Linked DNA regions of Sus scrofa. The main gene of each other region encodes a partner of the protein of the gene in region 2 in a complex. Links are inferred from orthologs where the notes say so. Each region holds a gene or a part of one and is shown on either strand. Other genes may lie near its edges.

Evidence for each region.
Region 1: STX5 (region 2) and BNIP1 share a complex: the UniProt entries of both Homo sapiens proteins name them as parts of the SNARE complex. The link is inferred for Sus scrofa from reciprocal best matches to the Homo sapiens genes STX5 and BNIP1.
Region 3: STX5 (region 2) and STX4 share a complex: the UniProt entries of both Homo sapiens proteins name them as parts of the SNARE complex. The link is inferred for Sus scrofa from reciprocal best matches to the Homo sapiens genes STX5 and STX4.
Region 4: STX5 (region 2) and BET1L share a complex: the UniProt entries of both Homo sapiens proteins name them as parts of the SNARE complex. The link is inferred for Sus scrofa from reciprocal best matches to the Homo sapiens genes STX5 and BET1L.

Annotation. Positions count from the first base shown.
Region 1 is NC_010458.4:51,135,957-51,143,644, forward strand, and holds the start of BNIP1 (vesicle transport protein SEC20), read right to left. Parts: upstream 4,434-7,688; 5' UTR 4,159-4,433; coding exon 4,075-4,158; intron 3,732-4,074; exon of another isoform or gene 2,490-3,731; intron 1,633-2,489; coding exon 1,540-1,632; intron 1-1,539. UniProt on the Homo sapiens protein: As part of a SNARE complex may be involved in endoplasmic reticulum membranes fusion and be required for the maintenance of endoplasmic reticulum organization. Also plays a role in apoptosis.
Region 2 is NC_010444.4:8,963,195-8,970,299, reverse strand, and holds the end of STX5 (syntaxin-5), read right to left. Parts: intron 2,529-7,105; coding exon 2,369-2,528; 3' UTR 1,790-2,368; downstream 1-1,789. Other genes in the region: NXF1 (nuclear RNA export factor 1), read right to left, coding at 205-520. UniProt on the Homo sapiens protein: Mediates endoplasmic reticulum to Golgi transport.
Region 3 is NC_010445.4:17,420,391-17,427,301, forward strand, and holds the end of STX4 (syntaxin-4), read right to left. Parts: intron 5,879-6,911; coding exon 5,770-5,878; intron 5,699-5,769; coding exon 5,622-5,698; intron 4,127-5,621; coding exon 3,989-4,126; intron 2,525-3,988; coding exon 2,414-2,524; intron 2,316-2,413; coding exon 2,235-2,315; 3' UTR 2,217-2,234; intron 2,124-2,216; 3' UTR 1,876-2,123; downstream 1-1,875. UniProt on the Homo sapiens protein: Plasma membrane t-SNARE that mediates docking of transport vesicles. Necessary for the translocation of SLC2A4 from intracellular vesicles to the plasma membrane.
Region 4 is NC_010444.4:25,287-32,915, forward strand, and holds BET1L (BET1-like protein), read right to left. Parts: upstream 5,176-7,629; 5' UTR 4,821-5,175; coding exon 4,763-4,820; intron 4,072-4,762; coding exon 3,980-4,071; intron 3,741-3,979; coding exon 3,684-3,740; intron 3,561-3,683; coding exon 3,393-3,560; 3' UTR 3,373-3,392; exon of another isoform or gene 1,839-3,372; 3' UTR 1,189-1,838; downstream 1-1,188. Other genes in the region: RIC8A (synembryn-A), read left to right, coding at 7,008-7,091, 7,367-7,414, 7,501-7,629. UniProt on the Homo sapiens protein: Vesicle SNARE required for targeting and fusion of retrograde transport vesicles with the Golgi complex. Required for the integrity of the Golgi complex.

The DNA.
Region 1 (7,688 bases), on a different chromosome or scaffold from region 2:
TCTGTACATATTTCACTGCAGACTGGTAGCAAACAGGGTTTTAAAGTCCATGTAGGGACAGAAAAAGCATTTTTGTCCATTTGAGGCTGGGAATGGGAACAGAGAATACCACTAAGCTAGGACTGCAAAATACACCCTCCATGAAAAGGTGCACTAAGAAAATGTCTGTCAACCCACACAGAGAAAACATGGAAGCTTGTCCTTTTTTCCTGTGGGGTCTGGCTAGAGGGATGTAAAATTAATCTCCCTGGAGAATATATAACCACAGAGCTACCCTCACACTGATCTGGGGCTCAAATTCATCCTCCGTGGGTGGTTCAAGAACTTCCATGAGGGAGTTCCCATTGTAGCTCAGCAGTAACGAACCCGACTGGTATCCATGAGAACAGGAGTTTAATCCCTGGCCTCACTCAGTGGGTTAAGGATCCAGTGTTGCAGGCAAATGGCCACAGCTCTGATTTAACCCTTAGCCTGGGAACCTCCATATGCTGAGGGTACAGCCCTAAAAAGACCAAAAAAAAAAAAAAAAAAAAAAAAGAATGAGGACGAAGTTCCCATTGTGGCTGAGCGGGTTAAGAACCTGACTAGTATGCATTAAGATGCGGGTTTGATCCCTGGCCTCACTCAGTGGGTTAAGGATCCAGTGTTGCCATGTGCTATGGTGTAGATCAAAGATGTGGCTTGGATCCCATGTTGCTGTGGCATAGGCCGGCAGCTATAGCTCCAATTTGACTCCTAGCCTGGGAACTTACATATGCCGCAGGTACAGCCCCAAAAAGCAAAAAAAAAAAAAAGGATAAGGAAACTTCCTAATACTGACATGGAAAGATCTACAATATATATTGTTAAGTTTTAAAAAATTAAAATGATTAAATCAGTACTAGAGATGGAGGCGGAAAGAGACCAGCTAGGTTCAGTGACATTGCTGACAACCTAGAGTGACCTCCTTTGACAAAAACTGCATACTGGCAAAACTGCCCTTGAAAATCCCTTAGAAAGCAACACAGGACATGGACATTCTGTTTCTCAGGGTCCAAACTGCCAGTTTTTCAAGTATCTTTGGAACAGACTGTCTTCTTCTGTTAAGCAACAAGGGCTGGCATTTGGGACCAGGTCAGATAAAAAGCACAAGTCTCTAAATCCAGCATCACATGGATGGAGACCAGGTGCCCCAAGACCCGCCCAGGGATGGACAGACCCATGCTACCAGCTTACCCTCACTCAGGGCACAGCACAGAAACACCTACTTTCCTTGCTCTAATGATTTTGGAAACAGCACATATACCCTAGTTGAATTCAAGACTGTTACATAAGCATATGATGCGACTAGAGACACAGAAACAGAGAGGAAGAGGCCAAAGTGACAGTATGAAAAAAAAAACCATTACCAGATAATTGTAATGAATTGAGGTGGATGGGTTAGAGAGAGGGGTAGAGAAAAGAAAGTTAATTCAAGTGATCTCTGAGTCTTCAAGTTGAAAAATTCCAAGGACAATGAATGCTGCCCAGTCTCAGCATCCCTGCTCTGCGGACACTTACCTGTATTCTGTGCCGCAACTGTTGAAATTTTTCTTTCACTTTAGTATTCAGTTCCGTAAGTGCACTTAAGGGTCCTGAACAATCTCGAATATCCTAGGAAAAAGTGAAGAGATGAGGGAGCCTTTCTCAAGGCAATGAAATGAAACGACACCAGCTGTACCGTGAGAGAGTTGGCTTAGGTCACAACTAAGTTTGGCCTACTAACTGAAATTCATCCTGATCTTTGATGTTTACCTCTACAACACAAGCAAAAACAATGTAATTTACATTTTTCTCATCCCGCTTTAGATAACTTCTCAGCAAGTAACATAAAAGCACAGATAGAAACACAACTCTATCTTGACCTATTAGTTCCTGAAGTTTACCAAAACTCCATTCAGCCATTATGAAAGACTTAAAGCAACTTGTGACAGGAATGGACATCTAAAAGACAGACTGTAGCTTTACTTTAATGGTGGGGGGCACTCCTATGGCATATGGAGGTTCCCAGGCTAGGGGTCCAATGGGAGCTACAGCTGCCAGCCTACGCCCACAGTCACAGCAACAGAGGATCTGAGCAGCGTCTGTGACCTACAGCACAGCTCACAGCAACGCCAGATCCTTAACCCACTGAGTGAGGCCAGGGATTGAACTCACAACCTCATGGTTCCTAGTCGGATTCATTTCCACTGCGCTACAATGGGAACTCTGACGTATTATAACATTAGACTGTAATGTTACATGGTTCCAACTTAAAAGTCAGGATGCGGAGTTCCCGTCGTGGCGCAGTGGTTAACGAATCCGACTAGGAACCATGAGGTTACGGGTTTGGTCCCTGCCCTTGCTCAGTGAGTTAACGATCCGGCGTTGCCGTGAGCTGTGGTGTAGGATGCAGACGCGGCTCGGATCCCATGTTGCTGTGGCTCTGGCATAGGCCGGTGGCTACAGCTCCGATTGGACCTCTAGCCTGGGAACCTCCATATGCCGCGGGAGCGGCCCAAAGAAATAGCAAAAAGACCAAAAAAAAAGTCAGGATGCTAATATTTGGCATTATATGACAAGATTAACTTCTTGATCTAATTTTATAAACCCTCTATTGTAAGTCACTGTTTATAAACATGCTCAAAGATAGATTTAGAATTTGCTTCTGGACATTCAGAATTTCCAGGGCCAGGTTTTAAAGCAGGCCCTAGGATATATTATGTACATTCAAATTCTGGTTGTAGCAATTATAAGCTGTTTTATTTTACCTTGAAAAAGTTACTGAGTCCTATGTGCCTTAGTTTCCTCATCCCAACATTACCTACTTCATAGATCAGGTATGTAGTAAAGGGTTTAGCAGAGGAGTTGGAACACAGTAAGAATGCGCTAACTCTAGCTATGATCAACTGTTCTCATCACAAGAACAAAGAGAGCTAGAGAGTGCCCAAAAGGGCTTAAGCAATATAGATTATGTGAAAAGACAGTTTCGTTTGTTTTATGACTCCTCAACTTATTTTTCTAAAATTGGCCCAGAGGTTTGTAGTTTATACATCGGAAACATGAAGTTCAAGAGTTTAACTGTTTGCATCAAGTTGCCTCACTTGTTCTATGGATTATGCATTAAATCACACTTCTTTGCTCCATATAATAAACTATTAATTTGGTTTATTTTGCATTTGGCTTCTGTGGGGAGCCTTATTTTCCTCCACCTTTTACCACAGTTGGCTGCAAATTCTCAGTCTACATCCAACGTTTAGTAACGTTTGTTGTAAATGGAAACGATCTGCCTCAAATGAAGATTTTAAACTCTTGGTTTCCTTTTGCTAAACTCAAGTAACCATTTCTACATTCCTAACTCTTGCCTATGCCAAGGGGTTTATTGTTATCTTCTACCCTCAAACGGCCTAAAACAAAGGACCTCAATTACCCCATCTGTTAAACGAAGTAGACTCAAGTCTTTTTTCTATACTGACTTTCCCTGTCCGACCCCAGTTTTGCCATTATCTGCCCTCTGACCCAGGCCTTGGCCCTTGACTCGATTTCCTAATTTACAAATCACAACGTCCAGGTTACGTTCACTTCATCCAGTGCCTCCCGCGCCAAGGGGCCTTTGGTGACCCGGGACATCAGACCCACGGAACTGGCCACAGGGGCCGGGGTTAACGGCCCCCAGGACTCTACCAAAGGATGGAAAGGGCGGTGTCAGAAGGCAGGGCCAAGCAGGATGACAGGTAAATTGGAGACTGGGGCAGGGCGAGGAAACGGCCGGAGTGGGGCAGGGGCCACAAAAAGGTAGCCAGGCCTGAGGCGGAGGCTGGGGAAGGGAGAGGGAGAGGAGAGGCCTTGGAGAGGGCGAGCCAACGGGAGCCGGAAGAAGGATCAAGGAGAAGAGTCCAGGGGATGAAGGGAACGGGACCAAAAGGGGAGCAGCTAGGAAAAGGGGGCGGGGCCAGCGACCTCGGAGACTTGACCAGATGGGGAAAGCTCAGCAGTGAGACCGCCGAGCTGAAAGAAAACCAAAACCACTTGGGTTTCGGGCCGCTGGTCCCCATTGGGGGTCCTGGGAATTAGTACCTGAATAAGCGCCTTCACTTCCAGGTCGAATTTAACAATCTCTTGGTTACAGATCCGTACGTGGACATCCTGGGGAGCCGCCATGTTGGGGAATGCTGACTACGGACAGCCGCGGGGCCCAAGTTCCAACGCGTTTTCTCCCGGCCTCCCTTCCTTCCCGGCCGGGCCTTGGGGCAGCGCCCCCTAAAGACCGGCCTGCGGCGAGCGAGGGCGGCGGCGCAGTGGTGGGGACTTTCCCTGACACGTGGGCGCGCACTCAGTCGGCCTGTTGGTGTGGATCTAGTTAAGAGAGAGAGAGAGAGAGAGAGAGAGCGAGAGCGAGAGCGAGAGCCGAGGGTATTATCGAGAACGCTTTAACGGTGATCCCTCCGCATACTCCGCCCATCAGCCACTCTAAAGAATGCGGGGTTTTTTGCATGGGGGCGGGGGGTGGGGGGAACCGCTGGAAGAAAAGTATCAACTGGGATATCTCTGAAAGGTATAATTAACAATTGTTTACACTTTTTTAAACTTTCTTGTATTTTCATATTTTCTACAGTGAATATAAATTGTGGAATGAAAGAAAAAAATGACAAACGTTGTTACACTTTTTTAAATATACGAAATTCAAGGCAAGTCCCTAGGGAATCTTCTGTTAGTCCAGCTTGAGTGCTAGGGATCTTTGCGTCTAAAATGCGCAACTGGTAAGTCACATTCCAGTTTATACCCCTTCTCTGCTCCTGGCGGTTCCCTTTTGTGTACAATTAGATTTATTAAATAATTTACCTGGCTGGAGTAGTTTTGATGGAAATAACAACCTGGCTGTTGTCTCTCTCTCAACAGACAGAGAGTCTTTCACTTTATTTTTCTTATAAAATAGTCCAAGTTTCTTAACTTGGCCCTCAAGACCATCAGCTACCCCACCCAGCGCCCCCGCCCCCCTTGCATTCTTCAAGCTCTTTTTGGGTCCGTAGTTGTGGGGTTTTTGTTTTGTTTTTTGGGTGGTTTCTCTTTGGCTGTGCCTGGGACATGTGGAAGTTCCTGGGCCAGGGATTGAACCTTTGCCGGAGCAGCAACCCCAGCCATTGCAGTGACAGTGCTGGATGCTTAACACCCTGAGCAAATGGGAAGTCTGGATCTGTAGTTGTGGAATGTGCTTTTCTCCTTCTTAGAATGCTTTTCCCCACTTGCCCTCACCCCATTCACCTTTGTTCTGCAATCATAGACTGGGAAAAACTGAGTGTCAGCTGTTGCCCTTTAGCCTCACAACCACCCTTGAAATAGGTAATAACCCAGTTTCACAGTTCGGGAGTTGGACTAAGGCCAGATCAAAACAAAACAAAAAACGAGTTCCCGTCGTGGCTCAGTGGTTAACGAATCCGACTAGGAACCATGAGGTTTTGAATTTGATCTCTGGCTTTGCTCTGTGGGTTAAGGATCTGGCATTGCAGTGGGCTGTTGTGTAGGTCGCAGACGAGGCTCAGATCTGGTGTTGCTGTGGCTCTGGTGTAGGCTGCGGTCTGGGAACCGATGAGGGGTCCAGTTAGACCTCTACCCTGGGAACCTCCACATGCCGTGGGTACGGCCCTAGAAAAGACAAAAAAGACAAAAACAGAACAAAACATCCTTGCCCCAAGGTTGCCCAAATTAAAAGTGGCAGAGCCTTAAGTGAAAGCCCTATCTTCCTTCCCTCAAAAACCAAATATGGCCCCTTGAATAGTGTCGAATAAGGGGGGAGCTGCGTGCTCCCACATCTGTATTCCTCCAGTGTTCCACACCCCCTCCCTCCAGGCCTTCATTATTCCACTGCATCTAATAGAGAGGCCACGTGAGGGTTAAGGCAGGCTTCCCCTCTCGGTACTTCAGCCTCCTCAGAGGCTAGCTGGTGGAGATCACAGCTACATGAAGTCATACATAAAAAGCACCAAGCACAATGTAGTAATGTGGCACATGCTAAGAATGCAAAGCACATTGGCCGCTATTATTATATTACTGACATTTGTGGCACTCTTCCCTTGTGCCAGGAACTTTATATGAAGTGCTTTATGTGTATCATTCTTTCACAACAGCCCTGAGGTAGAATTATCCACTTCCTACAGATAAAGAAACAGGCACAGAGAGAATAATGACTTGCCCAGCGCAATGGAATGGCTAGGTCGAAGGTTACATGCATTTCAAAATTCTAATACATACAACTGCATTGCTTTTCTTAGAGGTTATATCAATTTACACTCCCACCAGCGATGTGGTATGAACGCCCGCTTTCTCATGGCCTCACCCACATGGTGTGATAACAAACACTGGGATTTTTGCCAATTGGATCAAGTGAAAAATGCCACCTTTTAATTTGCATTTCTCTTATCATGAATAAGGTTGAGAACTATTTGTATTTACTGTTTTTCTATTAGGTTGTTGGTCTTTTGCCTATCCATTCCCAGGAGCTCTTTATTCATTAGGAGGATTTGTTCCTACAGATAAGCTTTGCCTCTTTTTTTTTTTTTTTTTTTTGTCTTTTTGCTATTTCTTTGGGCTGCTCCCACGGCACATGGAGGTTCCCAGGCTAGGGGTCTAATCGGAGCTGTAGCCGCCGGCCTACGCCAGAGCCACAGCACCGCAGGATCCGAGCCACGTCTGCAACCTACACCACAGCTCACGGCAACGCCGGATCCTTAACCCACTGAGCAAGGGCAGGGACCGAACCCGCAACCTCATGGTTCCTAGTCGGATTCGTTAACCACTGCGCCACGACAGGAACTCCGCTTTGCCTCTTAAGCTACAGAATTTTGACTTCGTTTAAGTATTTTGGGTTTTTTTTTGTTTGTTTTTTGTCTTTTTGCCTTTTCTAGGGCTGCTCCTGTGGCACATGGAGTTCCCAGGCTAGGGGGCCAATCGGAGCTGTAGCCACAGCAATGCGGGATCTGAGCCACGTCTGCGACCTACACCACAGCTCACGGCAATGCCGGATGCTTAACCCACTGAGCAAGGCCAGGGATCGAACCTGAAACCTCATGGTTCCTAGTCGGATTCATTAACCACTGAGCCATGATGGGAACTCCCGTTTAAGTATTTTGGACCTTCAAGATTTGAAATTTTTTATTTCTGTTTCATATATAATTTGTTAATCTTCATTTATGACTCCTAGATTTGAGATCCCATTAGAAAGGCCTTCCATGCTCACATGGGTTCAAAGGAATTCCCCACATGTCCTAGTGTTTTGTTTTGTTTTTGCTTTTTAGGGTTGCACCTGAGGCATATGGACGTTCCAAGGCTAGGGCTCGAAAGGGAGCTGCAGCTGTTAGTCTATGCCACAGCCTCAGGAGTGCCAGATCTGAGCCTCGTCTGTGACCTATACCACAACTCATGGCAACACCGGATCCTTAACCCGTTAAGTGAGGCCAAGAGATAGAACCTGTATCCTCATGGATACGAGTTGGGTTTGTTACCACTGAGCCACAATGCGAACTCCAACTCTAATACTACAATTTTATGTGTTTTAATATAATAGGATTGAACACACCATTTTTCCCTTATGTGAACTTTAGAGTTTCTGAATTGTATTGGTCTGTCTTATTAGGATGACATTAAGTGACTTATTTTAGGAGAGCTTTATGCCGTTGACCGCTCCTGTTCACGAA
Region 2 (7,105 bases):
CCCAGCGTCAACAACCCCGGCACCCAACCCTCAAGCTCACCCAGGCCCCCGGGCTGCCTCGCCCCGGGCCCGCGCCGCGCCACCGCCGTTCCCCGTGGACGCCGGGCCCCTCGCGGCCTCACGCCCCGGCGCTGCGGCCTAGGCTGGCGCAGCCCAGCAGGGCCCAAGATCGACCGGCTCCCCGACCCAAGGGCCAGCACTGACCGTTGTATGACTTCCCTTCGTCCGCCATGGCGCAGCGAGCAGGGGCGGGCTCTGTCGCGGCCCGCGACACCGGCAAACGTCCGAACGCCCAGGCTCTCCCGGCTGAAGTGCTCCTACGCCGGATGCCGCCGCATTTATGCGGCCAGCGCGTCGCGCGCAGCCGACGTCCCACGGTGATGGGCGGAACCACTGGGAGACGCGCGTGCGCATTCGACGAGCGGACTAGCCGGGGGCGGGACTTGGCGTTGCACGCCCCGCCCAGGACCTGAGCTTGGGAAGCCGAGTTACCGCGGGTTCGCCGGCCCCCTGCTTTCATCCACCCCGCCGCTAGTAGCTCTCTGCTGGAGCACCTCCAGGGTCAGCGGTGAAGCGGAGAGGTGGCTACTGCAGCCCAGGATTCCGAGAGGAACAGGGAAGAGGGGCTACAGGAAGGGCTTCCGAGGAGTGGGAGACCAGGCCCTTAGGAGCGGGAGTGACCGCACATAGACACCTAGAAGGATCCAGCCAGGGCAAGTCTCAGCTCAGCCCTTTGACACTTGCAGATCTAGGCCTCGGTCTCCTCGCCTATAAAATGAAATAGAAAACTAACGGTAAACTCCTAGAGAGCAGGGGCTTGATTAATTCACGGCTTTTTCTCTCCGGCACCTGACTGGATACCATACTTAGCACGCACGCAGCAGGAACCCAACATATATTTGTGAAATAACTACTGATCTATGCATTCCCTCCGAGAGAGTTGCAATCAAAGGAGAGAAAAACGGCATTTGCCAGGCTTTGGCTGTCTTCACAAACCAACCCACCCACCAACCCACCGGGATGTGCTATGCTAAACCCACGTCTTGTGTCAACTGGGCAGTGAGGAGGCCAGCCTGACCACACGCTGAACACAGGCCAAAGGGAGAGGAAATATTAAAATGCCATGGCTAGGAAAGACCTGGGCTCTCCTGGACCCCTCAAAGTACTGGGGCCAGCACAGTGTATAGTGACTGTTGTCTCTACAGCTTGAGCTTCCTTTCGGGTGTGTGAAGTGGGGGAACTCCAGTGATGCAGGATGATGTGGTTCTGGGTCCTGGTCAGGACTAGAAAGCATATTAACCTCCCTGGAGGGTGGGTGTTCCAGGCAGGTCACTCCTTCATTCTTCTGACTGGCTTGGATGTGGTGAGGGGCTTCAAGGGGACCAAGAGCCTCAGCTGGAGCTGGGAACGGATTCTTCATGTCACCTTCACTCCTAGCAGCAGGCAGGGCTCCTACTTCATCCAGCGCAAGTAAGTTTGGGGCCAAATGGTTGGAGCATGCAGATGAGACAGGTCCAAATACTTCTGGAGATGGTCCTGGAAGTTGCCGTCAATCAGGGACCCAGGCTGGGATCCTGTTACGGGCCTCTGAAGGGAAGTTTCCATGCTAACTAAGTGCTGCTACACCTGGAAACCCCCTGCGGGAGGCAGCTGTGTGCACAGAGTGAGTGAGCCTGGCCCGTCAGGGCCATCAGCCCAACCCTTTTAGTTATGATGCTGGGCAGTGGGCTCACTCCACTTGCTGCCAAGGCCCTTCGACGCTCCCACCCCGAAATGACGACATGGCTAGTGAGGCTGACAGTCTTGTTGTAATTGGGAGGAAACGGGCCGCAGCACATTTGGCAGATTGAGAGTCATCTGCAGCCAGAGTTGGGGTTGTGTAGGCAGCCAAAGGGCTCAGGGCCCCTTGCCTCACATGGTGAAGAGAGGAAGAGGTAAATTTTAACCCAGATGGGAAAGTTGGTCCCTGGGGAAGTTTCACTTCCTCTCCTCACTCTCAGGAAGGTGGGGAAGGGCATCATCTCCCCTTGCTGCCAGAGTTGAGAAAGGCTGGGGAGGGTTTATAAAAATCTCCAGTGGAGACAACCTCCCCGAAGAGCCCTCCAGTTGGCCTCTGCTCCCTTCCAGCCACTTCACAGCAGAGTCCAAATCCAGAACCGTGTGTTTCATGGGCCTGAGGATGGTGAGGGGAGGACAGGGTGGCCAGAGGCAAGGAGTGGGAGATCAGGGGCAGTGGCCGTTCTTAGCAGTTCCAGGGAAACAGGGCCTTTCTCCCAAGCACCCTGCACAGGCTCAGTGGCAGCTCTGGCCACCTGCCCTCCCAGGAGGGTTCCAAACCCCCACGGAATGCCTCAGCGTTGGAGAGGGTTCAGGCAAGGAAGACCACGAAGATGATGAAGAAGACAATGAGGATGAGGAAGATTTTGACCATAAGCCACCGGTTGGACGTGACCGACTGGAAGTACTTGAGGATCTCCGAGTGGGCGGCCTCAACGTCCAGCTGGGCTCCTAGCACGTTCTCGTCGATCCTGGAGAGAGGGCCGAGAGGAGGGGAAAAAGAGTGACACTTGATTAAAAGGAATGCTGTTGAAATGTATTTTTGTGTGTGTGTACATGTATTTGTAGATGGGAGAGCTCTGGGAGCTCCCATTGTGGCACACAGTAGGTTAAGAATCCGACTGCATCGGCTCGGGTCACTGCAAAAAACACGGGTCTGATCCCCAGCCCAACGCAGTGGGTTAGGTTAGAGGATCCGGCATTGCCACAGCTGAGGCTTGAATTCAACCCCTGGCCCAGGAACTTCCATATGCTGTGGGTGCAGCCGTTTAAAAAAGAAAAGAGGGGAGTTCCCATTGTGGCTCAGCGGTTAATGAACCCGACTAACATCCATGAGGATGCCAGTTTGATCCCTGGCCTCGCTCAGTGAGTGAGTTAAGGATCTTTTGTTGTCGTGAGCTGTGGTATAAGTCGCAGACGTGGCTAGGATCCTGTGTTGCTGTGGCTGTGGTGTAAGCCGGCACCGACAGCTCCTATTTGACCCCTAGCCTGGGAATCTCCATATGCCGTGGATGCAGCCCTAAAAAGACAAAAGACCAAAACAAAACAAAAAAATATATCTATATTACCCTTCCAGAAAATGCTCTGGAAGGGTAATATAAACAAATCTTGGCTCTGGTTTGAAAATCAGCTCTGTAGCATATGACCCTAAGCCAGTCACTTAACCCCAAGTCTCATTTTCCTCAACTGCAAAGGAGAAAATTCAGATAACACAAACCACACCTCTCTAGCTGCTGTCAGTCTTAAATGAGTAGAGTGCCTAACTCATACTAAAAGGACCCAAAATGTTAGTCATTATAATTTTTTGCACATCAGTATTTATGGATTTTTCTCTGATAAGCAGTATTGCCTTTGTAATAACGGGGGAAAGGTCACAGGCCATTATGGTCAGGAAACCCTGGTTCTGAGTGAGAAAGGAAGAAAAACTTGATGATACGGACAGAAAGGAGATAAAGAAAAGCCCCAGGGGAGTTCCTGCTGTGGCTTAGCAAGTTAACTCAACATAGTGTCTATGAGGAGGCAGATTCGATCCCTGGCCTTGTCAGTGGGCTAAGGATCCCGTGTAGGTCTCAGATGTGGCTCAGATCTGGCATTACTGTGGCTGTGGTGTAAGCCAGCAGCTGTAGCTTCAATTCAACCCCTAGCCCAGGAACTTCCATATGCTGCAGGTGCAGCCATAAAAAGAAAAAAAGAAAAGCCCAAGGGAGTTCCCTGGTAGTCTACCGGTTAAGAACTTGGCATTGTAACTGCTGTGGCTTGAGTTCGATTCCTAGCACGGGAACTTCTGCGTGCCACAGGCATGGCCAAAAAAGAAAGGAAAAGAAAAGAAAAGCCCGATATTAGAACATGTCTCTCAGGATATAGAGAAGTCCTCAGAAGAATGAATGGCAATCTCTTGAGAGGCTGCTGAGGAAAATAAAACATTTCCCAGCTAACGTGCATGTGCAATCCTGAAAACGAAATATGAACCCTGGTCTTTGCAAAGGGAGTCGCAGGGAGCAGAAACCATCGTGCGCTGTGAGGACAGAAAAGTTGGTGAAGGCTGGGAATCAAGTAGGCAAGTGAGAGGAAAGGCTGGGCTGGTGACTGCAAGTCCAAGGTCCTGGGAAGGTGGTCACGAGACTATCAGGTAATCTCTGGCCAAACACTGGAGCATGAATTGTATGATTCCCTGTTTATGTCAGAGAAGCTAACAAACGTATCAGGTTTCCCAGCTTTGGGCTATAATTACATTTCTCAGTGTGGATGCATTTGTCATCCCATAGCCAATAAAGCTCATTCACACTGACAATCATAATGGCTCTGCTTAACAAAAATGGAAAAGCAATCAAATCAATCTGGCATATGGAAGATTTTTATTTTATTTTATTTTTTTGGCCATGCCTAAAGCATGTGAAAATTCCCAGGCCAGGGACTGAACCTGAACCACAGCAGTGACACAAGTGGTTGCAGTTCCAAGGGAACTCCTAAAACATTTCAAATGGGAGACCGTGAATGAAAACTAATACAAGGGAAATCTAGGGGTGATAAAATTAGGCATCAGTGGGATATTCAGAGGAATCAGTAGGGGAGTTAAAAGTCAGAAAGGAATGGGGAGAAAATAATGACTTGGGAGGGAAAAGACTGAGGAAAACAGAGAGGAGAACAGTTCGCAACGTTTTACAGAAAGAAAACCATAGAGGGAAGTAATTAAGCAATAAGAAGCTGGAGTCTTGCTGAACACAAAGGATGGATGATGAAACTGCTATCAGAGGCATGGACAGCCAGAGGACGAGAAGGTAAGTATAAGGTGGGAATGACAAAAAAGGAGTTTGATGGAAGAAGATAGAGAACTCAAGAACTAGAAGGACTATTTGACCATCTGACCGTGCCTAGGAGATCTTGGATTTTAGTTCTTTTGGCTTCAGTTTCCCCAAAACGTCATAATTACTGAGAGTAACTGGATCATGTTCAGTGGATACAGAAGCTGCCTTGAAGTAGCTCCTAGTGGCCAGAAATCTGACTGTAGTAAAGAATAATGATGGTGCAAATCAACCATAGTAAAATAAATTAGTTAAAAAAGAATGATATTAGTAATTTTTAAAATTACTATTTACTATAGTAATTTCATTGTTTTATTTTATTTTTGCTTTTTAGGGCTGCACCCGTGGCATATGGAGTTTCTCAGGCTAGGGTCAAATTGGAGCTGCAGCTGCTGGCCTATGCCACAGCCACAACAACAGCAACTTGGGATCCTAGCCGAATCTTTGACCTACACCACAGCTCACAGCCAACGCTGGATCCTTAACCCACTGCACGAGGCCAGGGATCAAACTGGCATCCTCATGGATACTAGTTCGTTAACCACTGAGCTACGATGGGAACTCCTATAGTAATTTTATTTTATTTTTTGTCTTTTTAGGGCCGAGCCCACTACATGCAAAAGTTCCCAGGCCAGGGATCGAACCTGAGCCTCAGCAGTGACAATGCCAAATCCTTAGCTGCTAGGCCACCAGGGAACTCCTCTAGAGTGATGCTTTGAGTCCCTATGAATGTCCAGCTCCTTAGCCCTATGATGATCCATGCCTGACTCATTTGTGAGAATGAGTATGGCAAAATGGTAATTTTCTAATTTCTTCTACATTCATTAGCTGACAGAAGGAGCTTTCTCTCTTTAAAATTACTATAGAGGAGTTTCCATTGTGGCTCAGTGGGAACTCCTCTACAGTAGTTTGTGTTTTTATTTATTTTTTTAATAGCAGTTTTTTTGGGGACAGGAGTGACCAAAAAAAAAAAAAAGTGTCATTCATTCCACAGATGACTTGGTTTGATGGTCACCACCTTCAACAAATGACTAAACTTGGCATCACCAATGCCAAGAGGTAACCTCATCAAGTGCCTACCATAGGATCATCTATAGCTAGCCCCAAATATTTAACTTAATCACAGGTAAAACAGTGCACAAGTACACTGGCAGGCCTTTGAACAAGAGGCACTGGCCTCTAAAAAGAAAGAAAATATCACACATACATACACACAAAAACAAAAGGCAGATGAAGGCTTTAACAATCAACTGAAATGTGTGAATGCTGCCTGGGTCTTAAATGTAAGGAAAAAAAGCTAAAACTATTTCTTTAGAACAGTTGGGGAGGTTTGAGTTTAGATTGAGTACTGGATTTGCTGGAGACCTGTTAATTTCTTAGGCTTTGTAATGGTACGCATATTCAGGAGAATACCTATTCTTGGCAGATGCATGCTGAAGTATTTGGGGATAAATGTCATGATGTTTGCACTTAGATTTAAAGAAAATTTTCTTTATTATGGTTGATTTACGATGTTGTGCCAATTTCTGCTGCACAGCAAAGTGACTCAGTTTTATATATATATATGTATATATATGTGTGTATATATATATAAACATTCTTTTTTATATTATTTTAAATGATTCAGAAAAAAAGGGCAAGAGGAAGCAAATGTGATCAAACGTCAACAGTTGGTGAATCTATGTGAAAGGTACACGGGTGTTCATTATCCTCTCGGCTTTCCTGTGGTTTGAAAATCTTTGTCAAGTTGGTGGGAAAAAGAAAGTGACTAACTCTAGATGGGCAGTTTTTATACCTTACAAGGAAAAAGAAGCACCTATAGATCATCTCAAAAAAGCAAATTCTTAGGTCTCACATTCAGTGATTCTAGGGTGGGGCCCATGAAACTAACATACTGAGAACTTTGGACTAAATCAGTGGTTTCTAAGGAGGGTGCTTAACTCCAGGTTCACTGGCATTCCCAGGAAGCAAACACGAAGAGTAGCCATGTCTATTTGGAAAATATCATTCTTTCAAATTTCAATTTCTTGTTCACATCACTGTCCACAAGTTTTCTCTCCTTTGTTATTCCCCTTTTACGTTTCCAAGCCATTCAACTGAAATTGCTGGCACTGATTCAATTAACCAGAGCCCCCGGATCCAATTAACACCTGAGGATCCTTAACTCATGCTTCCTTCTCAGGGGCATCAAGAAATAGCCACTCCTTTCTCCCTAAAATTCCTTCCAGCTCAGCTTCTAAGAACAC
Region 3 (6,911 bases), on a different chromosome or scaffold from region 2:
TCCAATCGCATTCCGGTGCGTCTGTGCAGAGGCTCTGAGGCCCCGCCCATATCAGCGTCCTCTAATTGCTCACTCCTTCAGGACGCCCTAAGGACCAATCCTGATGCTCTTCAGGAACAACATTTAGGTCCACTGGCCAATCATTTTCCAGGTGGCGACCGGGTCACCAACACCCCCTCTGGCACGCCCCGCCCCGTACAGTGTACCCTCGGACTTCGCGCAGGCACCATGCAACGGTGCAACACGTCCACAGGGAGGCGCTGTAGGCGGGCGCCCAGCCGCGAATGGAGGCTGAGCTGGCCTAGTGGCAGCGCGCCCCTGCGACTCTCTCTCTCTCTCTCTCTCTCTCTCTCTCTCTCTCTCTCACCCCTCCTCCAACCCGAGTGCAGGGGCTGGGTCCCAGTCTGCACCAAAGACAGCACGTGGCCAGCCCTTCCTGGACTCTCATCAGCCTGGCACCCACGTGTGTACCCGATGCAAGCGATATTGCGGCCCGATGCGCGCTGGGCAGCCAGGAGAAGCAGCGGCAACCTGTGGGATCGAAAGTGGGATGGGACTGGGCGGCTGGAACCCGGCCCCCAGACTTTGGTCGGGGTCAGGCGCCGCCCTACCACTACCAGGCTTAGGAGCCAGAAGCCAGCTTCCTGAAACCAGGGGTCTGAAGACTGGCAGCACATCCAGCTCCAGAACTAGGCAGGGCACCTGCAACTCTTCGAAATTTAAAGTCCGGAGCTCAGGTGAGTTATGGAAACCTGGGGTCAGGCTCCCCTGCCTCCTCTATCCTCTTCAGCCACAAGACCCCTGGGAAACAAGGTGAGCTGATCCAGGGTGGATGGCTCATTAGCCTGAACTCCTATCTAAAAGGCAATGCTTTTTCTGGGCACAGGGCCTGGCCTCCTGAACCCTCTGCCTGGCAACCTCTTCCCTGATTCTTCCCCTCCTCATTAAGCACCACACTCAAATATCACCACCTCCGAGACAGGCCCTCCCTGCCAACAACCATGTTCCCAGTGTAGCTCAGCAGTAACAAACCTGACTAGTATATCCACGAGGATGTGGTTCAATCCCTGGCCTCATTCAGTGGGTTAAAGATCGGGCATTGCCATGGCTGTGGCGTAGGCCAGCAGCTGCAGCTCCGATTCAGCCCCTAGCCTGAGAACTTCCATGTGCTTCAGGTGCAGCCCTAAAAAGAAAAGAAAAAAAAGTAAGACCAAAAAAAAAAAAAAAAAAAAAAAAAAAAAAGGAGTTCCCGACATGGCTCAGTGAATAACAAATCCAACTAGGAACCATGAGGTTGCAAGTTCGATCCCTGGCCTCACTCAGTGGGTTAAGGATCTGGTGTTGCCGTGAGCTGTGGTGTAGGTGGCAGACGCGGCTCGGATCCTGCATTGCTGTGGTGTGGTGTAGACTGGCAGCTACAGCTCCAATTAGACCCCTAGCCTGGGAACCTCCATATGCCGTGGGAGTGGCCCTAGAAATGGAAAAAAAAAAAAAAAAATTAACAGAGGCAATTATTTGTCACAGTGCCTCTTCTTGGCCTCAGCAGCGCCCTCAGATGCCACACACACACACTCAGCTCACCCGTGTCCAGCCTGGCCTGGCCCAGCCTCGCTGCTGTGGGGTTAGGTGGTCACGGGGTCTTTCCCCAGGGACAGTGGGTTGATGTGGGTGTTACCCCCTCCCGGCCCCACCTGTTCTCATGGGAGAGTAGAAGGGCAGTGGCAGGCTGGCATGGCCACAGCACCCAGGACAGTCTGATCTGAGGCTACCTGGGCTGGGCCTGTCCGCAAGGGTGGCCAGGAGGTGGAAGGCGGTGGAGACCTGGAGGCCCTGGACCAGCCTTTTCAGCAACACATGTGCAAAGGAGATTCTCCAAACTTTTTTTTTTTTTTTTTTAATTTCTTACAAAACCACGGGTCCCAGCCAAAGAGGACACGGCAGGCCTGCCCCCAGGCATGGTGGCCCAAGGGGGGGAGGCCCCATGGATGAGTGGCTGCCGGCCCTGGAAGAACCGTCTGCCCCTCTGGCCAGTGTGAGGAAGGGGTCGGGCTGGAGGCTCTGTCCTGCCCACCCCTGGCTTCGGGGAGGGAAGGCAGCCCCTGGGTCCCTGGTGCTCTTAGCGCCTGCAAGGGAAGGAGGGAGAAGAGGGTCTGAGGGGAGGAGGAGAGGCTGGGGGCAGGGAGGGGGCAGGCTGGGGGGGCCCCACAGAATCTCACCGAGAATCCACGATGCTGTCACACCAGAATGGAGACGCTAATGATGACCACCAGGATAAGGAGAGTGACGGACAAACAGATGGCGATAAAGACTTTCTTCTGTAGGAGAGGAGGAGGGGGGATGGTCGGGGAAACTCTCGGGGGGCGGGGGGAGAGAGCCCCCCCCAGGGCAGGGGAGTGGGTGGCGGGACGCTCACCTTCCTTGCCTTCTTCTGGTTCTCCAGGGCCATCTTGACGTGTTCCTGCCCACGTTCCACATAGTCTGCTGAGCTCAGAATGTTCTTCTCGATTCGGTTGATCATCTCCCCCTGCTCAGAAGAGGAGGGAGGGTTCAGGCGGGTAGGAGGGACTCGGGGTGGAGGCCCAGCAGCTCCTCTGTCTGCCCACCACAGCCCCAAGACTGAAGGGCGTTCCTGGCTGAAAACAGGGCACTAACAAAGGCATGGAGAAGTTCCCATTGTGACTCAGCGGGTTAAGAACCTGATTCGTACCCAGAGGATGCGGGTTCGATCCCTGGCCTCGCTCAGTGGATTAAGGATCCGGCGTTGCCGTGAGCTGTGGTGTAGGTCACAGATGCAGCTCAGATCTGGTGTTGCTGTGGCTGTGGTGTAGGCTGGCAGCTGCACCTCTGATTCAGCCCTTAGCCTGGGAACTTCCATATGCCCTGGGTGCGGCCCTAAAAAGACAAAACAAAAAACAAAAGTGGAGGCAGGACCACATCTGGCCGAAGTTCACACTCCAAAGGGGGCTTCCAAGCCCCCTTCTACCTTGTGGTCCCTTCTGCCCTGCTCCCTTGCCACCTATAGCCTCTACTGGCAGGGCTGGCTGGGAGCTGGGTGCCTTTAATGGCTCATATCTTTTCATGGAGGGCAAGCTTCTGTCCCCTCACAAATCAGTCTGAATTCACCTGTTCTAGGCCTGACTCCCAGCTGCTGTGAAGCTCCCTGATCCCTGTCTCCTCCCGGCACTGCCAGCCTTCAGGTCCTGGTGCTCCTGCTGAGCAAAATCTCTTCCCTGGGAAGAGCAATGGCTCCAGCACTCACGGGGTAAGAGCTCCTTCTGGACGGGGTTGGAAGCACCCCTTCTCTTATAGACCAGGGCTGGGAGAAGAACACCATCGCCCGCCCCATGCTTGTGCAAGTTCTGGGAGGCAGGTCCTCTGGGGGGCAGTTCAGGTGCTCTCAGAGGTATAAGGGTGGAGTCTGTTAGTGGAGGGGGAGCCAAAGTTGGGGCCATGCCCGAGGTGGGCTCAAGTTTGAGGACTGGGGTGCAGTGCACAGAAGAGTGGCCATCTGGGTAGCTGTTGAGGAGGATACGATTTTTCTTTTCTTTCTTTCTTTTTTTTTTTTTCTTTTTAGGGCTGCACCCATAGCATATGGAAGTTCCCAGGCTAGGGGATGAATTGGAGCTGCAGCTGCCGGCCTACGCCACAGCCAAAGCGATGCAGGATCCGAGCCGCATCTGCAACCTACACCACAGCTCACAGCATTGCCAGATCCTTGACCCATGGAGCGAGGCTAGGGATCGAACCCACATCCGCATGGATACTAGCTGGGTTCATTATCGCTAAGCCCCAGGGGGAACTCCTGAGGAGGACGCAATTTGGAGGCACAGCTAAGATGGAAGTACAGGCCAGTCTGGAGGAGAACAGAAGCCTCGCAGAGAGAGGCTAAGAGTGGAGGTGGGCGGACAGTCACAGCAGGGGTTCTGGTTGAGCAAGGTCTCACATGTGGGGGCAGGATCAAGCCCAGCCGGCTGCCTGGGGCGCCCACCTGCATCTCCACCTCCGTAGCCAGAAAAGTGAAGATCTCATGAAGTTCACGGATACTGCGCTCGAGCTGCTGGATCTCGCTGTGCCGGGCCGAGATCTCATTTAGAGCCTGTCGAGTCACCTGTGTGTCCTTCAGTATCTGGAGAGTGGACAGGGGTGGAGGGAGAGGTCACAGGGAAACCAGCCATAGGCTCAGAAGTTCATGGTGATGCATGAAAGTAAACTCAAAATGGCTTAAAGACTTAAATATAAGACAAGACACCATCAAACTCCTGGAAGAGAACAAAGGCAAAACATTCTCAGACATCAACCTTATGGCTATTTTCTCCCAAAGCAACAGAAATAAAAGCAAAAATAAACCAATGGGACCTAATCAAACCGACAAGCTTTTGCACAGCAAAGAAAACCAAAAAGAAAACAAAAAGACAACTTACAGAATGGGAGAAAATAGCTTCAAATGATGCAACTGACAAGGGCTTAATCTCTAGAATATATAAGCAACTTACACAACTCAACCACAAAAAAGCCAACAACCCAATGGAAAAATGGGCAAAAGATCTGAACAGACATTTCTCCAAGGAAGATATACAGATGGCCAACAAGCACATGAAAAAATGCTCAATGTCCCTGATTATTAGAGAAATGCAAATCAAACCTACCACGAGATACCATCTCACACCAGTCAGAATGGCCATCATTAATAAGTCCACAAATAACAAATGCTGGAGGGGGTGTGGAGAAAAAGGAACCCTCCTGCACTGTTGGTGGGCATGTAAGCTGGTACAACCACTATGGAAAACAGTATGGAGATACCTTAGATATCTATACATAGAACTACCATATGACCCCACAATCCCACTCTTGGGCATATATCCAGACAAAACTTTCCTTAGAAAAAACACATGTACCCGCATATTCACTGCAGCACAATTCACAATTGCCAAGACATGGAAACAACCCAAATGTCCATCGACAGATGATTGGATTAGGAAGATGCGGTATATATACACAATGGAATACTACTCAGCCATAAAAAAGAACGAAATAATGCCATTTGCAGCAACATGGATGGAACTGTAGACTCTCATGCTGAGTGAAGTAAGTCAGAAAGAGAAAGACAAATACCATAGGATATCACTTATATCTGGAAGCTAATATATGGCACAAATGAACCTTTCCACAGAAAAGAAAATCATGGACTTGGAGAACAGACTTGTGGTTGCCGAGGGGGAGGGGGAGGAAGTGGGGTGGATGGGGCGCTTGGGGCGCATAGATTCAGACTATTGCCTTTGGAATGGATTAGCAATGAGATCCTGCTGTGTGGCACTGGGAACTGTGTCTAGTCACTTATGAGGGAGCCTGATAATGTGAGAAAATAGAATGTGTACATGTACGTGTAACCAGGTCACCGTGCTATACAGCAGGAAAAAAAGTTGTATTGGAGAAATAACAATTAAGAAAAAAACAGAAAGAAGTTCATGGTGAGCCTTGGGGCAGCCCTCCGGCCTAGAACCGGGGCCAGGGCCCTGAGGAGTGATCCCAGGCAGGCTCCTTCATTCCCTTCTGGGCCTCAGGATTCCCTCCATGCAAAAGGGCCGGGACTCAGAGCGGACAGAAGGAGGCCGGCCACTCACGTTGGACACAAACACCTCGCTCTGCCCGCTGTCCAGCATCTGCTCCAGCTCCTCGTCAGACACCATGCCAGCATTTGCTGTGAAGGGAAAGGCCAGGCTCAGCGCTGGTCAGGTCACCTGACCCGGCAGGCCCGGCGCCGCAACTCACTGATCTTCAGCTGCCTCCGGATCCGCTCCACGTTCTTCTCCCGGTACTCGGACTGCATGGAGTTGCACTTGTTGATGAGCTCCACGAATTGCTGGGACAGGACCCCATGCTAAGGAGGGAGAAGAGAGGCTGGGCACCCCTGGGAGGATCCCTGCTCCCTCGGGGCCTCAGCATCCCCATGGGTACAGGGAGCAAAGAGCATGAGCTGTTACAGGTGCCTGTCGCCTTAACCGCCTTGAATGGGCTCCTCCAGTCCCTCAAGGTGAAAGTCAAAGCCCTCCCCAAGGGCCTGAGAGGCCCTATATGACCCACCCCTCTCCCTGGTTCCCATCTAACCTCACCTTCCAATACTGTTTCCTCACTCCTTCCCTCCAGCCATAGTGGGCTCCTTACTCCTCCATGAACAAAGGACAGCCCCAGCTCGGGCCTTTGTACTCGCCCCTCCTTGGGCCTAAAATGCTCAGGCCCCACAAAGGTAATTAGTCTGTGTTTCAAGGTCGCCCTCTTATTTATTTATTTATTTGCCGCCCCCCCCTTCCTTTTTGTGCTTTTTAGGGCTGCACCCAAGGCATATGGAGCTTCCCAGTCTAGGGGTCAAATTGGAGCCACAGTTGCCAGCCTATAGCACAGCCACAGCAACACAAGATCTGAGCTGCACCTGCCACCTACACCACAGCTCACGGCAAGGCAGATCCTTAACCCACTGAGCAAGGCCAGGGATTGAACCCGCAACCTCATGATTACTAGTCAGATTCGTTTTCGCTGTGCCACAACAGGAACTCCAATTTTCTTTTTTGCTTTTTATTTATTTATTTATTTATTTATTTATTTATTTATTTATTTATTTATTTTTTAGGGTTTCACCCGTGGCATATGGAAGTTCCCAGGCTAGGGGTTGAATTGGAGCTGCAGCTTCCAGCCTACACCACAGCCACAGCAACGTGGGATCTAAGCCCCAGCTCACCACAATACAGGTCTTTAATCCACCAAGGGAGGCCAGGGATCGAACCTGCATCCTCATGAATACTAGTCGGGTTCATTACCGCTGAACCACAAGGGGAACTCCCTCAATATCACCTTGTGAACAGAGTTTTCTCTGCCTTATTGCAATTGCTACTTGCCTTCTCCTAGTGTTCTCAATC
Region 4 (7,629 bases), about 8.9 Mb from region 2:
ACTGCCCTTAGGATTCTGCCTTGAGCCCTGCCCTCTACGTGGCTCTATCTGTCCCCTCCCATGTGATGTCCAGTGTGGCTCTCTCTCCCCTGCTGAGAGTCCCTCCCCTGGAATCTAGAACAGCGTCTGGGACCATCCCAAATGGAGATGCAACGTGACTCGTGAGGCCAGGCCATGCGACACACACAGAGCTCCCACCTGGGTACCCCCTTCTCTTTGCTCACCTTCACACCAGGAACCATGTCGTGAGGAAGCTGAACACATGATAAGACAGTGAACATGGCTGGGCCCCCAGCTCACCCCAGCGGTGACCTGCAGATCTGTCACTGAGCCTTCACGTGATGGCAGCACCAGCCTCTCACCTCTGAGAGGAAGCCTTAACATCATAAAGCAGAGACAACTGTCCCCACTGAGCCTGTCTCAAACTCCAGCAGCGACCATGAGACATAAATCACTGCTGCAGGGGTTCCTGCCATGCCTCAACGGTTAACAAACCCGACTAGCATCCAAGAGGATGCAAGTTCCATCTCTGGCCTCGCTCCGTGGATTAAGGATCCGGCGTTGCCATGGGCTGTGGTGTAGGTTGCAGACGCGGCTTGGACCTGGCGTTGCTGTGGCGTAGGCCCACAGCTGTAGCCGATTCAACCCTGAGCCTGGGAACTTCCAATGTACCACAGGTGTGGCCCCAAAAAGACAAACCAAAAAAAATTTTACTTCCGCAATTTCAAGTGACTAAATCTGAAAGTGACATTATACATCAGATGCTACGTGAAGCACAGGAGGCTATGGACAAGGAAGGGGTGACGAGCTGGGATGAAGGGCATTTCCAGAGGATGCTCGGGAGTCCGAGGCCAGCTCTCAACGGACTCCAACCTTCAAACCAGCGCTAGGCAGGTGGCCCTGTGGCCCCTGTGGGACTTTAGTCACGAAAAGGCAGTGACGCCACCTTCCCCAACTTAGTCACAGAAACCTGGGGAGAAAAAGGTCCAGCAGCAGGACGTAGTGAGTCCACGCCTGCCCCCCCGCCCCCCGCCCCAGGGGACGAGTAAGGACGGGAGCAGGGCCCGAGAGAAGGGGAAAGAAGCCACGTGGAGACCACCGTGCCCAGGGCAAGGCTGTGGACCAAGGTCAGTTCCAGACAAAACTCTCGGAGGCCCTGAAGGAAATGCAAACACCAAAGACTATGTGTTTACTTAATCGAGAATCTGTTTATTCCAAGTTTTTATGACCAAATGCCTTGTCCTTGACTTGGGGCCCTCCCTTGGCACAGAGGACTCCAAGGCCTCTTCTGTTTTAGTCTGAAGGGCCACTTAGCAAACCCCACTTATCCACAGGAGGAGGTGCTGAGTGCACAGGGCTGAGCAGAAGGGTGCAGGCCCCACAGAAAACCCTGCCGACGTGGTGGCAGCAGCATTCAGGAACTCAGCCTAATGCAACAAAAAAGTAAACCAGACAGAGACAAAAACCCAGACCCCAAAATAGCTGGAAGAGCTGCCAAGAGCCATGGAAATGAAGTGGGGAGGCAGAGGTGGGGACCCAAGGAGAGAACACAGCAACCAGAGGTCTCGGAGGGGGCAGAGCACTTCTTGAGACAGTCATTCTGAAAGGCAAATCCTCAATTCCTGGTCTGCACTGGCAAGACGAGTGGGCACAGCAGGTAAGAGCATCCTGGGGGGAGCAACAGCCATGGCTGAGCCATATTCTCAGGAAGCCAGGTTAGCAGGCCCAGAACAGGCGGCTGCCACACTCAGGTCTGATGTGTCTGCCGTGCCTGTGGTGACCCGATGGAAACACGACACGGCAGCAGCTGCTGAGCTTCATGAACAGTAGGCACGTCCCTGTGACAAATTTCAACATGAGATGAGCTGACGGCTGAGTCGAAGCCATGGAGGCAAGGAAGCGGACCTCACCGAGTGAGAAACAAGCACACACTGGAGGGATGGAGGCAGTAAGAACAGAGCACTCGGAAATGAGAAGGTAGCACGCTCCCCTTCCAGAAGGCTGAGGCCCAACCAGGCGCAGTGGAAAAGAGAAGGGCATTATGGTGAGTGTGAGACAAGCCAGGCCTGCTCGGTGGAGAACAAAGGAGAGAGAGAGGAGGAGCAGGAGCAGCAGGGCCAGAAGGTGAGGTGCCCAGGGCCAGAGACCAGAGCAGGGTGGGGTGGCAGGAGTTGAGAGGCACAGGCTGTGGCTGACATATGACCACATGTGTATGTGTGAAGATGGCCGGTGAGCCGGTAGCCCTCAGAGAGTGAAGGGGAGTGACCAGGAAGACAGAGAACTGGAACAAAAGACGGGAAGGACAGAGCTGATGACTCGTTTCTTACAGGTGTTTTCATGGGAAGACACTGAGATCTCACAGTGGGGTAGAAAGACCCATTGGTTTGGAAGAAACTGCAGTTCACCTTGTGTGAGCAGGAGACTGACCAGTGGGCACTGAGGGCCCAAGGAGAGATGGGCAGATACTGTAGGTGGAAGGGCCAGACTCGGTGGAAACTGTCCGCGGACCCTCAAAAAGCGACCTACAGATCCTATGAAAAGCTGTTACCTGGAAGCCTCCAGGCTGTACCCACAGAGGCCCCTGCTCACACCCTGCCTGACTCTGACATGCCAGATGAGCCTCTTTCTAGAGATCTGGGCTCCTGGAAACGTGTCTCGGTGCTGGACAGACCCTGAATCCTGAGAAAAGGTCAGTTTCTGCTCCTGGACACAGGGAGACCAGGAGGACCTGGGCCCGCGTCTTCAGCCAATGCTGCAGTTCACTTCTCCACGCATGGCCACTGCCCTTCCCTGAGGGTCGGGCTCCAGCCATGGGGTTGGACGGCAGGCAGACACCTCTCGGCAGGACCCTTGACTCTTGCTGGTCCACCAGTGCCCGGCAGCCCTGGCCAGGAGCAACGGCCATCTCTGGTTTGAGGACCCTTGGCTGAAAGTGACAGCAATGATTCGAGGTTCACAGTCGCACCCCTTCCTGTGTCGGCTCTGGGCACCTCGAATACCAGACGTGGCCTTATCCAGACCAAGACCAAGCAGAGAAGCCTCAATACATCAGAACCCTGAGGGCTGGGGGAAGGGCTGCTGGTCACAGGTGGTCACGTCCAGGATTCCCAGCTGCTCTGCTCCAACCTGGCTCTGCTAGGGCTTCTAGCACCCAAGATGGCAGAGGAAGCTGGGCCTTGGTTACCCAATGGGGATGGGCCCCTTGCACACATGGGACCAGCTAACATGAGCTTACTGGGTCAGAGGCTCCCAGCCACACAGGAAAAAGATTCCTAAGCCATGCTCATCACTTCGAAGGGGTATTTTGTAGGTAGATCTTCTGGAGCCCAGGACACAAGGCAGAGGAAGACCCTGGTTGTCCCAGGTACCTACAGAAACCAGTTCCCACTGGCTCACGTCCTTGCCCTTGACAGGAGGTAGGAGAGGATGAAGAAGACCACGATCAGGCCCATGGCCACACCACAGAGAAGCTTCCGGTTGTCTCGCCCAGATCTCGCCATTGTGGAAAAGCGCTTCACACTCCCCGTGAGGAGGCCCGTCACACTCGTGAAATCCGAGTCCTAAGGGAGGAATCCTAGCATTGTCACACGGGGCAGCAACTCCACAGCACACACACGCGGGGGGGGGGGGGGGGGTGCCTGCAGGGCAGGTAACGTGGGGCCGAGAACACCGCAGACCCTTACCATGCCGTCCAGGTACCGGTTCTGGTCCTCCACATCCCTATCAATGTCCAAGGCCAGCTGCTCAGGACACAGAGGGGACAGGGTCAGGCCAGGACAAAAATAACGGACTGTTCCTAACCCCCCACGGCATCAGCAGAGGTCAGGAGATCCAAATGTCACCTGGGCCAGCACAGGTGAGTGCTGCCATGTACGGGACAAAGAGAGAACTATCTGGACCCCTTCCAGGCCTCCACCCTCCCTCTGACGCCCTCCTCCAGAAGGCCAGATGGAGGTGAAAGGAGAGGACCACCACTGACCGACTTGAGCCTGGTGACCTTGGAGGCCAAGGTGTCCGCCATCCGCTTGTTCTCCCGGTCTAGAATCTCCTCCACAGCGCCGGGGCTCTGAGCTGTGAGAAGAGACAGAGAGGGGGTGAGAGTGTGCACCCACCCACGCGCACCCTCTTGACCTCTGCCCTCAGGGCTCTCACTCCAATTCCATCTAGTCCAGGGGGACTGGGCTTTCCTGTGTCTGCTGAACAGGTCCTGCCCTAACCCAGGGTCCAAAGCGTGAACTTCACACACGAGACAGCCGCGTGAAGGACAGCGTGCGAGAGCACTTGTTCTGTGTAGGCATCCAAGCCCGGATGGGTGGGCAGCACCTTCTGATACTCTGTGACAAAACCTGTACCATCCCCTCTGGATGGACTGGTATGTCAGCCCAGATGTCACCAGCGACGTAGAGGGGACCTGTTCTCAGAGAAAACCAGTAAACTCTGGCAAGGACTTAGGAAAAAGTCATGAACAGAAGGGGAGGTCGATCTCACGAGCAGGGCATAGATCTGCTCAGCTCTGCATCCTACACAGAGCCTTACACAACACCCAGAGCAGTGGTTGCTGAGACCTGGCCCAGGACAGGGGCTGGGACTTATGACTTGACTTGGTATAACCATCCTATCAAGTAGATGAGAACTGCCTCCCCAAGTTCACAGGCCAGATTTGCCGTGGGCCAGATGTCTCAGGGAGGCTCATCTAATAGGATCACAACCCTAGAAATCATGGATGTGTAAAGATGCCACGAGATGTTAGCATCCTACCAACCGCTTTCATCCATTAAATCTGTAAATGCCGCAAGCCCAGCGGAAACAAGCATCAGCATCCCACTTCGCAGATAAGAACAGGGGTTCCCAGAGGGCAAGTGGGCCACTCCCAGCCCCAGTCGGTACGAGGCCTTCTTGGGCCATCACGCGCAGCCCTCACTCCTTGGGGCTGGCCTCCGGAACAGTCGACCAGCCCGTCTGGCTGAGGTCCCGTGCAGAACAGTCTCACGAGGGCGGAAGGGGTGGGGACAGCGGACATCCGGACCCCGCAGCTTCACCGAGAAGCCGGGCAAGACCGCCCGAGGGCCCCACCCACGCCGCCCTGGCTCCGCCTGTTCTCAGTGTCTGCCGGCCAAAGCCACCCAGAGAGGCGGGGGCGGGCGAAAGCGACTCCTGCAGGCAGCGGCATCGGTTCCAGCACCGCCGCCACCTGCCTCCGCTCCCCAATGCTCACCCCGAGCCCAGTCCGCCATCGCGCCCAGCACGGACCCGCAGAGCTACAGCCTCCCGGGATGTGGCGCAGCCGTCGGGGAGGGACTTCCCGTCCCGCCCCTTCCGCCCGGGGCCCTCCAACTTCCGGCCGAGCGGGCGAGCGGGCTGGACGGAGAAGAACTGACGTTTCCTCCACCGCCTGCCTTGTGAACAGGGCCGCTGGTTCGCTCCTGGGACTGCTGGAAGGTTATCGTTTTTAATAGCATCATGGTGCCGACAGACAATTCCGCGGCCATTCCTGCCGAAGGCGGTGTCAAATCCTAACTGGAAAGAGCTCACGGCCCTTTCTCAGGCGAGAGAGGCTCCTCGCGGCGACACGGCCCGGGGTCCGAGGCCCGCCCGGCTGCGGTGCGGTTAAGGCGAGGACTCGGTGTGAAGCACGCTCCAGATGCTGCCGGCGGGATAAAGAGGGGATCAGTGCCTGGAACAAGCGAGCGCTGCAAAAATCTCAGGGATGAAGCACTTGAAGGAAAACGGGAAATCAGGAAGAAGAGTGGGAGCGTGAGGGGAGTTAGGGGCAGGAGGAGCCGGTGCTGCGACCTTGCACCCGGGCACTGACAAGGGGTCTGGCACAAAATAGATGCTCAACAAAGGCTTGTTGCGCAGTGGGTGGAGTATATGTTATTCACCCACTGTAATGGAGCATTCACTCTGTGTCGTTTAGTGCTGACAACCCACCGAAATGGGACCTTTTATCATCTCTGCTTTTCAAAAGAGGGAACTGGGTCCAGGCCAGAAGATGTGTCTGCTTACACAGCCAGGAAGTCCCTGCACATGATCAGGCTTTGCCTTCATCCTGACCTGGACCTTCCCTCCCCACTCTCCCCTGTCTCTCAGCCCCAACAATGATCTCTTTCTCCTACAACGGCCATTCCCACCTTTACTCTGCCGGCTCCTTCGGCCTTGAATGAACTTCCCCCACATCCCTTCCTGGCTCACTTCTTCCTCTGGTCTCAGCAAAAGCGACACTTATTCAAATCCCCTTGGAGCCCATCAGGCCCCTTTTTCAATCACAGCACTATGACTGCTTAAAGTCTTCCCGTTTTCCCGTTTTTGTTTTCACCTCTGCAATATAAGCTCCACGAAGGCAAGGACCTGTGGGTTCTGTTCACCCACATCCTGGTTCCTTGCATGCTGTAGGCCCTCAAACGCCTGCTTAATAAACAAAGTGGTCCCGGGGCTGCAAAGTCCTTTCCACTTCGTCTTTCCTCGGAACATCTCATTCGTTCTGTACATCAAGAGGGGTGTAGTGTGCGTGTAATAGCGGGGTGAGAAGCTAAGGCCCTCTCCCGTAGGGAATTCACTGCTCGGAGCCGGAGCGATTCAGGCCCGTGGTCGGATAACCACTGAGTCGGACACTGAAAGGCAACGTGACTAGACATCAAAGCCTTTAAATTCCCGAGGGCTCTTCTAGGCCTCTCCACTTTAAGGCGCGCGCAGCCCGGGCCCCCGCCCCGCGCGGCGCCGCGCGCAGCCCGGGCCCCCGCCCCGCGCGGCGCCGCGCGCAGCCCGGGCCCCCGCCCCGCGCGGCGCCGCGCGCAGCCCGGGCCCCCGCCCCGCGCGGCGCCGCGCGCAGCCCGGGCCCCCGCCCCGCGCGGCGCCGCGCGCAGCCCGGGCCCCCGCCCGCGCGGCGCCGCGCACGCCCCTTCCCGGCCTCCCCCGCGCGCCGAGCTAGGGCCGGGCGGGCCGTCTGGGGCCCAGAGCCTTGGAGCGAGGTACCTTCCGCTTCCTCGGGCCGGGGTCCCGGGAGCGCCATGGAGCCTCGGGCGGTAGTGGATGCTATAGAGACGGGGGAGGAGGACGTGGTTATGGAGGCTCTGCGCGCCTACAACCGGGAGGTGAGCGGGAGCTATGGACGTGGGACGCGCAGGGAGGAGGTGGGGCTGGGTGGGTCCCGCGCGCGTGGCCGGCGGGGAGGGTGTGAGTGGTGAGCGTGGCGGAAGGCTGAGGGTGTTGGCGAGCACGGCGGGGAGGGGCACCGAGTCTTTGAAGAGTTGCTGGGGGTGCCGTGGGGAAAGGGAGCCCTGTCTATTGAGAGCGGTGTCTGCGGCCTTGGAGCTCGGATTCTGCTTCGGTGGACCTGTGCCTCCTAATCTTCTGGGTCTGTTTGCAGAACTCCCAGAGCTTCACGTTTGACGATGCCCAACAGGAGGACAGGAAGGTGGGTGCTTATCAAGGGTAAAGGGGCAGGGACGGGTGGCCCAGGTAGAGGAGCCTGATGGAACCGCTCTATTCCCCTGCCCACAGAGACTGGCGGAGCTGCTGGTCTCAGTCCTGGAGCAGGGCTTGTCACCTTCCCGCCGAGTCATCTGGCTGCAGAGCATCCGCATCCTGTCGAGGGACCGCAGCTGCCTGGACTCGTTCACCAGCCGCCAG